Caenorhabditis elegans: one gene and its partner. The protein of the gene in region 1 interacts with the protein of each later gene in a biochemical or structural test. Each region holds a gene or a part of one and is shown in the gene's direction. Other genes may lie near its edges.

Evidence for each region.
Region 2: of the proteins of par-3 (region 1) and par-1, one has a biochemical effect on the other in vitro, tested with the Caenorhabditis elegans proteins (one study listed by BioGRID).

The regions. Positions count from the first base shown.
Region 1 is NC_003281.10:5,662,295-5,667,261, forward strand, and holds the start of par-3 (PDZ domain-containing protein), read left to right. Parts: upstream 1-1,938; 5' UTR 1,939-2,009; intron 2,010-2,067; 5' UTR 2,068-2,077; coding exon 2,078-2,245; intron 2,246-2,651; coding exon 2,652-2,741; intron 2,742-2,794; coding exon 2,795-2,857; intron 2,858-4,967. UniProt on the Caenorhabditis elegans protein: In cooperation with pkc-3, required for establishing cell polarity and regulating spindle orientation in the early embryo. Localization is crucial for recruiting par-6 and pkc-3 to the peripheral apical cortex and restricting par-2 to basolateral surfaces.
Region 2 is NC_003283.11:14,123,363-14,128,433, reverse strand, and holds the start of par-1 (Serine/threonine-protein kinase par-1), read left to right. Parts: upstream 1-1,895; coding exon 1,896-2,119; exon of another isoform or gene 2,120-2,178; intron 2,179-2,190; coding exon 2,191-2,323; intron 2,324-4,636; coding exon 4,637-5,071. UniProt on the Caenorhabditis elegans protein: Required for cytoplasmic partitioning and asymmetric cell division in early embryogenesis. Phosphorylates and restricts the asymmetry effector mex-5 (and possibly also mex-6) to the anterior cytoplasm of the zygote.

The DNA.
Region 1 (4,967 bases):
GGTGTTGTGGCCCATAAAAGTACCGAGCAAGGTCAGTCGGCGAAGAGAGGAGAGACGGTGTTATTCATGCATACCTCTACACAAATAGTGTCTCGGTCAATCGGACCTATGAGTCTCATTGACATTAAGTTGAGGTATGAACGTCGATGGCAATACCTCGCCTGCTCTTTTTTTTTCGATAAAAGGCAATTAAAAATATCTTTCTTGTAGATTTTTAAACTTTCGGAAAAGCAATCGTAGAAAAGTGCAAAAAGTTGATTGTTCAGTTTGAGCTTTTCCATTCAGGCTCTCCGAGCATTTGACAAGCCGCGCGAGCTCCGCTGGTAACTCACTGTTTTTCTAATATCCAATCGCGCACCGCTGCGCCAATCTCTGTTCATTTCGTCGTTTGCCAGCTCAACTAATAGTCGGGACAGCACCCACTTCATATAACTTATTGACACGACTATAATTTGTCATTTTGCTTCTCCAATCCATCTCATGAAATATGTGTGTCGTGGCGTCAAGTTGGCATATGCAATGAGGTGATGGCTCTCTAACTCTTGTGCAATACAGCTGGTGCGCACTGACTCAACCTTCTCTTTTTTGACATTTTACATTAGGAAAATGCCAATCAGAAAGTGTAATGGTACACAATATGTGACCTATAGTCGGTTTTAGTTTATTTTACGCCGAAAATACGGTACCCGGTCTCGACACGACAAACTGTTGTTAAATGCGAAAAGGGTTGCGCCTTTAAGGAGTACTGTAATTTCAAACTTTCGTTGCTCAAGAATTTTCATTGAATTTTCATAGCGTTCCCCACATATATGTATTTAACAAAACATTTTCGTATCGTATTTTTGGAAAAACGCAAAATTCCGCGTCTGATTTTAAATCACAAACCGACAATAAGGTTTTCCGAATCCAAGAAAAATTGAATTTTCCCCAAAAAGTAGAGCAATTTATTTTCAAGTCTTTCCTGTTTTTTTACAAATCCATCCCAGCACAACTCGGTGTTCTTCCAAAAACTCGTCTCCTCCAACATGCTCATTATAATGGATCATCATCTTCTCTAGAGGATCCTCTGTGTGACTTCTCCACTTGACAAATTGCCCAAGTGGAAATAAAATAGGCACATTTGGAAATCCTTGGTGAGCACTGAGAGAGAAAATAGAGTAGAGAGAATCCAAAAATGTAATTGGATAACCACCTTCCTCCCGTTCTGTCTTCCAGAAATGTCCTCCCATTTTCCCAGCAAAGGTTTCATTGTTTGTTTTGATATCAAAAATTCATTTATTATTTAGCTATGCGATGAGCAATGCGATGACTGCGAATTCAGTTTTAAGGCCGCTTTTTCTTAAATAAAATTTAAAAAAATTTGTAGACTTGTGAAATTGAGAAATACAGTAATCATTTTTCGGAACAGATGGGTACGGTACGCATTCGCGGCGAGACCTATCGCATGGCGGGAAATTTTTTTTGAAAATTAAAATCTGCAAAAACTTCAAATTTTTAGATTGTCTATTGATTTATGTGCGATATTTTGAGTTTTTTCTCATTCCGTCAACTAATTCTCGTCCAGAAGATCAATTAAGCTATTCAGATCTTGAAAACACGAAAAAATCCGATTGAAATCGGAAATCGGGCCGATTTTTTTCAGAATATTGTTTTTCGAGCTGAATTTGTCTGCGCAAAAACAAAACTTAAAACGCTGAATTTTTTGTATTACAGATTTGAAAACTCAAGAATAAAATCACTAAAAAGCTAATTTTTGTATCCTTTTAAAATTGGCGCGGGCAATTCGGACAAATTTTTAAGATTTTAATGTTTTCCCGCTAAATTCAAACTTTTTTCCATCGCTGAGCACACTAAATCATTTGCTCTTTCTCTCTTACTGTTACTTACTTCACAGACACACCAATCATTTTCTTATCACTCTAATATATATTTTCTTGCAGATAGAAAAGGTCTCGCAGAGCAAATAGGTGCGAAACGAGAGAGCCTCTCGGGAGGAGAAACGTTGATTGGTTTGTTAAAACTTCTTTTCATTTCATTTAATTTTTCTTTATATCTGCTCATTTTCAGATCGATCATCATGTCGGCTTCATCCACGTCATCATCTAGCACATCGTGTCCGGAAGGTGGCGAACCATCGGGAAGCTGTAAAAGCAGCGACGAGGGTGAATCGACACTGAAAAAACGAATGCAACAGTACGGAATTGCGAGTGGTTACGCGAATTCCTCAATATCTACACTTGATAGAGTGCGGAAGTTTTTTTTTCTTAAAAATTGGAGAAAAAATCTTGAATTATCTTTCATTCACGCTTCAGAAATCTTCAATTCAAACTGTCAACAGTTCTACCCGATTTTTGTTTCAAAAAAATGCTTGAACTGCTGAGAATTCCATTTCTGCAAATTTTCATACTGCAAAAATGCGCATTTTAAAATGATTTTGTAAATTCAAATTTTTAAGTCAAAATCCGAATTTTGTACACATTCTATTTTTGAGTTGGAAAGTTTAAGATCCTTTTCAAATTTGAAATTTCTGGCTTTTTCGATTATAACACCGAAATCTGGAATTATTTTTTACTTTAAAAAATGTGAAATCCATTGAATATTTGAAACCTTGGTTGTAATTTATAATTATAAGCAATATTTTAATTTTTCAGAGCCAATATCAATCGCTTCCACTGAATGGAACTCGCCGAGTCACTGTTCAATTTGGACGAATGAAAATTGTGGTACCATGGAAGGAATCGGTGAGCTTTTTTTTCAAATGTTCAATCAATTTTTTAATATTTTTCTTGTTCAGGATCAGACAGTTGGTCAACTAGCAGACGCAGCACTTCTTCGGTACAAAAAAGCGAGGGGAATGGTAATTTTTTTTCTCCAAAAATTTGCAGAAAAAAGGTCATTTTGGAGGCAAAAAAGCGTATCCCAAATTTTCCCATGAATACAGTCAGTCGGGAATAATGAAAGGAAAATCAACAAGAAGCACGCAATTTTATCTTCGTCTTATTCTCTTCCAATATTATTCCATTCCCGAAGAAGCAGCAGCCCCCTTTCGTTTTCTCGGAGAGGTTAATTCGGCTGAGAACAAGGCCGCACCGATGAGGATGTGTTGAATACCATTTCTCTGTTCATTTTCACCAAATAATCCCCTTCCTTTTCCGCTTTGGAGAAAAAGAAAGTTTGGAAGAGACGCAGACAGTGTTACAGTGTGTTGTTGGCACACAACACTGTAAATAATAGATATTTCTTCATTCTCTCTCATAAGTGACTGTCAAAAAGTTTTACTATTTTGTGGAGTTGAACTGTGGTGCTCTTGGATTTTTATTTAGTTACTCCTGATCTTCTCACTTTAAACATTAAGACTTAGTGGTTATCATCCCAATTTATATTTACTAAGCAGTAAAACATTTATCTTGATTGAATATCCAATGATCGCTTCATTTTCTTGAAAATCTCTACAAATTGAAGGCAATTTTCTCCTCTTGGACCACCAACCATAACTAGCGAATCCTAGCCAAAGAGGGATTAATTTCCAAAATGGATTCTGGTCGAATTTGACTTTAATCGGCGTACGCTGTGCGGCATGGAAATTCCGGAGGCCGTCGCCTCGTCCCGATTGGATTTTGCAATTTGCAATAAACGGATTGATTTCGACGCGCTTGGTAGATTTTTGTTTATATAACATGCATTGGTCTCTCACCATGTTCACTTCATGGCGGATTTTGTACGAATCTCTTCCCCCTCATCATCATCGTCGTCGATCATCATGCTTCCTGTTCGCGCAGGTTGTAGCATTCGTTTCGCAGTAAATTAAGTTTTCCGCTGTAGGCAGGCAGTTGATCTAAATAAATCTGATAAGAATTTATTCGAAGGCTTAAGATTTGTTATCTCTCTCTCTCTCTCTCTCTCAGTTTTGTTGATTTAGATTTATTTGACGTTGAGGACGATATAATCATTATCAGCAGCAACAACCAACTTGAAATTAATCAAATGGAATGTATAGTTGGACGTTGTGTAATAGGAGTACGAGTAGAAAGTGTGAGTCAATTGCAGAAATTAGTGTTTTGTTAGGAAGTTGGGCGCCAGTTTTAAACCCGCCGCCTACACTTTTGATATTACGATGAGCACGGTTCAAAGGCAGGAGTTTTTTTTTCAGCCGTATCAGACTTTATAAATTTTCCATTTACTAATTTGATCCAGTTTTTATGGTCATGTAACATGTAAAGCTGTGTTTAGTCCCAGCCGAAAAGAAAATTGAACAGAACTCAAAGTTTTCGTGTGACTAAAAAAATATGGTGAGTCACCTTGGAATGTTTTTGTTCGGTTTTGAATTTCAATTCAAAAATTGTGAACAACTTTGGCGTTATTCATAATTGTGGAAGTTTTGAATTTCAGTTGAAAAATGAAAATTGTGATGTGAAAACCTTGAATTATTGTTCCTTTCAAACTTATTGTATTTGACTCCAAAGGCCTCCGAATAGCTCCAGAACATGTGAATTGGCAGCACTTAAAGTTGTTCATCTATCTCTATCTCTCTCTCCTCGCCATCATCGTGAAATAAAGCACCCCCTATTCTACATGCAATGTCATAACACTCATATCTCATGTTATCGCCATCCTCCGCTGCCACTACGAATCATCTGTTCTGAAAGCAGCTTTTTTTCGGGTGGTTTTTGTATTTTTCTTTACTGATAAACAGCTTGTGTTGTTGTTGTTCGCGACGAGAACAAATATCATGGACATTTTACCAACTATTGAGAAGATAAGAAGAAATGGTTAGGAATGATGTGTATATAGACATCTTCCCCTTTCTATCTCTCTTCCCTTCTCTTCCGAGTGTTTCTGTTTCTATTTGTCGTTCGATCTGATGATTGTCGTCATTTTTTCTCAGCCGCTCCTCTTCTTGATGCCCTTGCGCAACCCCACCGTGGCTTACTTGTTGGGGGGTCTTGGAGCGAAGAGCACACATAAAT
Region 2 (5,071 bases), on another chromosome or scaffold:
TTATCACTACTTCACAGACATGACGGAGTCAATTTTTGACGGCCCGCCGGATGTGATTCATAGACTTTGAACCATTTCAATCGATAAGCTATTGGAGCTCCTGTAAGCTGGAATCTAATTGACTAACAACCAAAAACTGGCACAACCCTATTCATTGCTTTTGTAATGATGCTCTTTGGTGTACATTTTCATGTTTCCTCCACCCTCTTAGTTCTCAACCTATTTAATAGTGCCACGTCAATCCGAGAGTTTGTGATGAGTTTCTCGGTTAGTACGATTATAAAGAAGAAAAGTGAGACGCGAACTTCTTTTTTTCAACTCCATCTTCGTCGTCTCGGTGCACCTGGTGTGTTGTCCTATTCTATTCGGTTCTACCTCCTCCACCCCCAATCTATTCAATTTTTATTATTGACTTATCGGAAAGAGAGTCAGTAATAGGAGAGGTGGACACGCAGACGTTGTGAGAAAACGACAAGCGCCTCGACTGAGAGAATTGAAGAACTGACTCATTTTTGTACTGAACTGACTGACAGTGCAGACTGGTTGACACACCTGCTCAGAAGCTGCTGGATCACCTTACACATTCACGTGCGACACTATTTTATTCAATTATTGTTCGCGATTCAAGATTCAAGAACTGTTAAGATGACGAAGAAATCGTACGCATTTGCACTGGATCTCGATGATTTGTGCTGTGACGATCATCCATATTCATATTCACCACCTTCCACATCTTCACGGCATTCTGCATATTATCCATCTCAACAGCCTCGGACCTTTTTTCCGGAATATGAATTGACCAGGTTTCTATCTTGTTTCAAAATATTTTTTCCGGCTGCTTCTCTTCTTGAATATGACTCATCGCCCCCTCAATTTTTCGTTGGTCGTGCTGCAAGAAATTTTCCATGATTCATCATAGCAGCTTGTAGTATAGAAGAAGACCATCGTTGTTCTTGTTGAACATCAGATTTTACATTTTATGTCCGGCGCCTGAGTTCGCCTTACTTTTTTTGTGTTCTACGAGGTACGGGCAATATGATGAACGTAGCCACTAAATGGGGCAAAGTGGCCGAATATAATTAGTACGTTTCTAGATTCGGTTGACCTTTGATTTTATATCCAAAAAAGGCAGTTTAACGGTTTTCTTTTTGAAAAACAATTTTTTCTAACTGAGGGGCTGGAACTTCCTTTTCTATTGGAACAACGCGTCTCAAATGAAAAAAAAAAGTTTCCGAAGCGCTATTTTTCGAGTTTTTTTTTTTCATTAAATCGGCTGTAAAAGTCGTCATTTCTTCCCCTCTGTGCTGACGTCTTCACTCAAAATGAAGAATTGCAAGCACAACGAGATGACGTTGGATGGCCCCGCAAGCAGTCAGCATCGAATGAAAATTTAAACACAGAAATTCAACGAGCCCCGTCCATCAAAGCCACAAAAAAACGGGGGTCCGCGAAGGGAAATTAGAAAAAACGAAGAGGCATGGCGGGGGGGGGGGGGACACGATTTTATGTAGCACTTGGAGCAGCACTTTGTGGGGGCATTTATCGGTCGGCGGGGAGGGTTTTTTGGAGAAATTCCGATGTGATGGGAGCAATAGAAAGAGAAGGGGACACATATTCCCTCTTAGTTTTTTTCTCCTTTTGCTCACACTTTTTTCAAGAGGAATACAGACAGATAGAGAGAGACATGGATGCAATTTGTGTCTCTTCTCCAAAGTGTGGATGGATGGATGGATGGATGTGTATGGAGAAAGGCCGCCCATCTTCTTCTTCTTGCTCGCTTGCTCCTCTTCTACTGCCGGCGCTCTCCTCGTTTTTTCCAGTGTGTCCGTCCTCCACGCTTTGCTCCATTTCGGGGAGCCCCAGGGCTCTTACGCGTCCGTTTGACCTAATTCGATATGTTCAATGCGGCATACTCGTCGTTACTCGCTAGATTTATGTGCCAGCCAAGTAGTTCATCTGTGACGCCTATTCCGGAAGAGGAGGAATCTCTGATCCCGAAGCGAAAAGTGTCTGAAGTGGTCACTACAGCTCCGATGGCTCCCACACTAACTTCATCTGGGAAACGGCGAACGGTGAAAGTGTCACCTGATGGAGATCATGTCACACATAACCGAAAAAAGTTAATTTTAGTTCACATTTAAAATTAAAATAAAGCCCCAGTCCACCAGTTTTCAATAAAAATTTTTCCAGCTCTTCATCACATGCACGATCTACTGGACAATCGGGTATGTCAAGTCGATCGGCAGCACGACGCAACGATCAGGATGTACACGTTGGAAAGTATAAGCTATTGAAGACTATTGGAAAGGGAAATTTTGCAAAGGTGAGCACTTGATGATTGGAAATTTCGAAAAAAAATAGTTATCAAAAAATTAGAGCTTGAAACATACTGTAGCCGGTCTCGACACGACCGAGCGCCTTTAAGGATTACTGTAGTTACAAACTCCCGGTTTTTGGCAAATTTTCTGTTTTCCAAATTTTTTAAAAATTTTATTTATTAAAACCAGTCGATGACCGCGCCTCCGGCGCGGCCAACGACTGGCGGAGTTTAAAATGTATAATACATAGATGTCCTTTTAATCATTCAAAAATGTATCATTAAAAAAGTTGAAACTTCATCGATTAAATCGCATTTTCTTCTTCCATGGTATTCGATTCAGAAAATTCAAAGAGACAGTTAGAATGTTCTGATTTTTCTACACTCAAAATTATAAAACTGCGTTGCGTGTACGCCAAAATAGTCCCCGCCTTTTTCTCGTTCACTCACGGGGAAAAGGCAAAAAGCGGTACCCCAGGTAATATCAGCCGCCGACATCATTCGAGGTCCGCGCACCACACTATTTTTCTCACTGTTGGCGTGGCGAGCTGTCCCCCTCCCCCGAAAAAATTCCACAGAGTTACAGTTTTTCAATAAGTTAATAACTTTCCTTAACTGGAGAAGTCTGAATAATTAACTACTAATAGTAAGTTCTTTGAATATAGATGTGACGAAACAAATAAAAACTCCTACAGTTATAGGAGGTTGTAGAGCATTTCAGAACTTTTTTGAATTTTCCAGATGATTCTAGAACATTCTAGAATTTTCTTGAAACTTCCAGAAGGTGCTGAAACAAAAAATTGATTCCAGAACCAAAATTTGAATTTCCCGCCAAATGTTTTCCTCAGAAAATTTGAATTTCCCGTCAAAATCTTTTTCTCAGAAAATTTGAATTTCCCGCCAAAATTTTTCTTGGAAATTTGAATTCCCGCCAAAATTTCTTTTCTCATAAATTTTGAAGCTCCCGCCCATATTTTTAAAGGTCCCACCACGATGGGTCTCGCCAGTTCCAGGTGGTACTTAAGCTAACAAAAAGTTTCTCAGAAAATTTGAATTTCCCGCCAAAAATTTTTTCACTGAAAATTTGAATTTCCCGCTAAAATTTTTTTCACTGAAAATTTGAATTTCCCGCCAAAAATTTTTTCACTGAAAATTTGAATTTCCCGCCAAAAATTTTTTCACTGAAAATTTGAATTTCCCGCCAAAAATTTTTTCACTGAAAATTTGAATTTCCCGCCAAAAATTTTTTTCACTGAAAATTTGAATTTCCCGCCAAAATTTTTTTTACTGAAAATTTGAATTTCCTGCCAAAATTTTTTTCACTGATTGAATTTCCCGCCAAAATTTTTTTTACTGAAAATTTGAATTTCCTGCTAAAATTTTTTTCACTGAAAATTTGAATTTCCCGCCAAAATTTTTTCACTGAAAATTTGAATTTCCCGCCAAAATTTTTTTCACTGAAAATTTGAATTTCCCGCCAAAATTTTTTTCACTGATTGAATTTCCCGCCAAAATTTTTTTAACTGAAAATTTGAATTTCCTGCTAAAATTTTTTTCACTGAAAATTTGAATTTCCCGCCAAAATTTTTTTTACTGAAAATTTGAATTTCCCGCCAAAATTTTTTTCACTTAAAATTTGAATTTCCCGCCAAAATTTTTTTCACTTAAAATTTGAATTTCACGCCAACATTTTGGGTCTCACCACGAAGGGTCTCACCACGATGGGTCTCACCACGAAGGGTCTCACCACGAAGGGTCTCACCACGTAGGGTCTCAACACGATGGGTCTCACCACGAAGGGTGCCACGCCCACTATTCTCACTGAAATTTGGGCGTGACGTCACAGACTCCAAAGACTACATAGACTACAAACTCCGGACAGACGAACTGTATTTTTTTATATATAGTTAATGATATTTCCTTTTTGAGAAGTAATTTAACTTTTTTATATATTTTTTTTGAGAAACGAGAGAAAATTTCAGAAAAAAAAATCTCGGTTTCATTTTTTTACGCTTAAAATTTATTTTTCGAAAACCCAAAATCATATAAAAGTCATGAAAGAAATATAAACTTCGAAAAAATGATAGACATATTGTGAAAATTTGCAAAACATTGCACAAAAAACAGGGAATCACAACTACAGTACCCTTTAAAGGAGTACACTCTTTTGTTCAGAACATTTTAAGTCGTGTCCGGACCTTGGAGACCGTGCACCGTAACTTTTTATTAAAAATCTTTTTTTTTCCCAGTCGGAAATACGAAACAGCCTGACAAAAATAAATCTTAGATATATGACCATTTAATTAATTATTTTTGCAGGTAAAACTCGCAAAGCACGTGATAACCGGACATGAAGTCGCTATAAAAATTATCGACAAGACTGCTCTGAACCCATCGAGTCTTCAAAAATTGTTCCGAGAAGTGAAAATTATGAAACAATTGGATCATCCGAATATTGTGAAATTATATCAAGTGATGGAAACTGAACAGACACTGTATTTAGTACTCGAATATGCATCCGGTGGTGAAGTATTTGATTATTTGGTTGCACACGGAAGAATGAAAGAGAAAGAAGCAAGAGCCAAATTTCGACAAATTGTCTCTGCTGTTCAATATTTGCATTCGAAAAATATAATTCATCGAGATTTGAAAGCTGAAAATTTGCTTCTCGATCAAGATATGAATATTAAAATTGCTGATTTTGGATTTTCGAATACCTTCTCACTTGGAAACAAACTCGACACATTTTGTGGA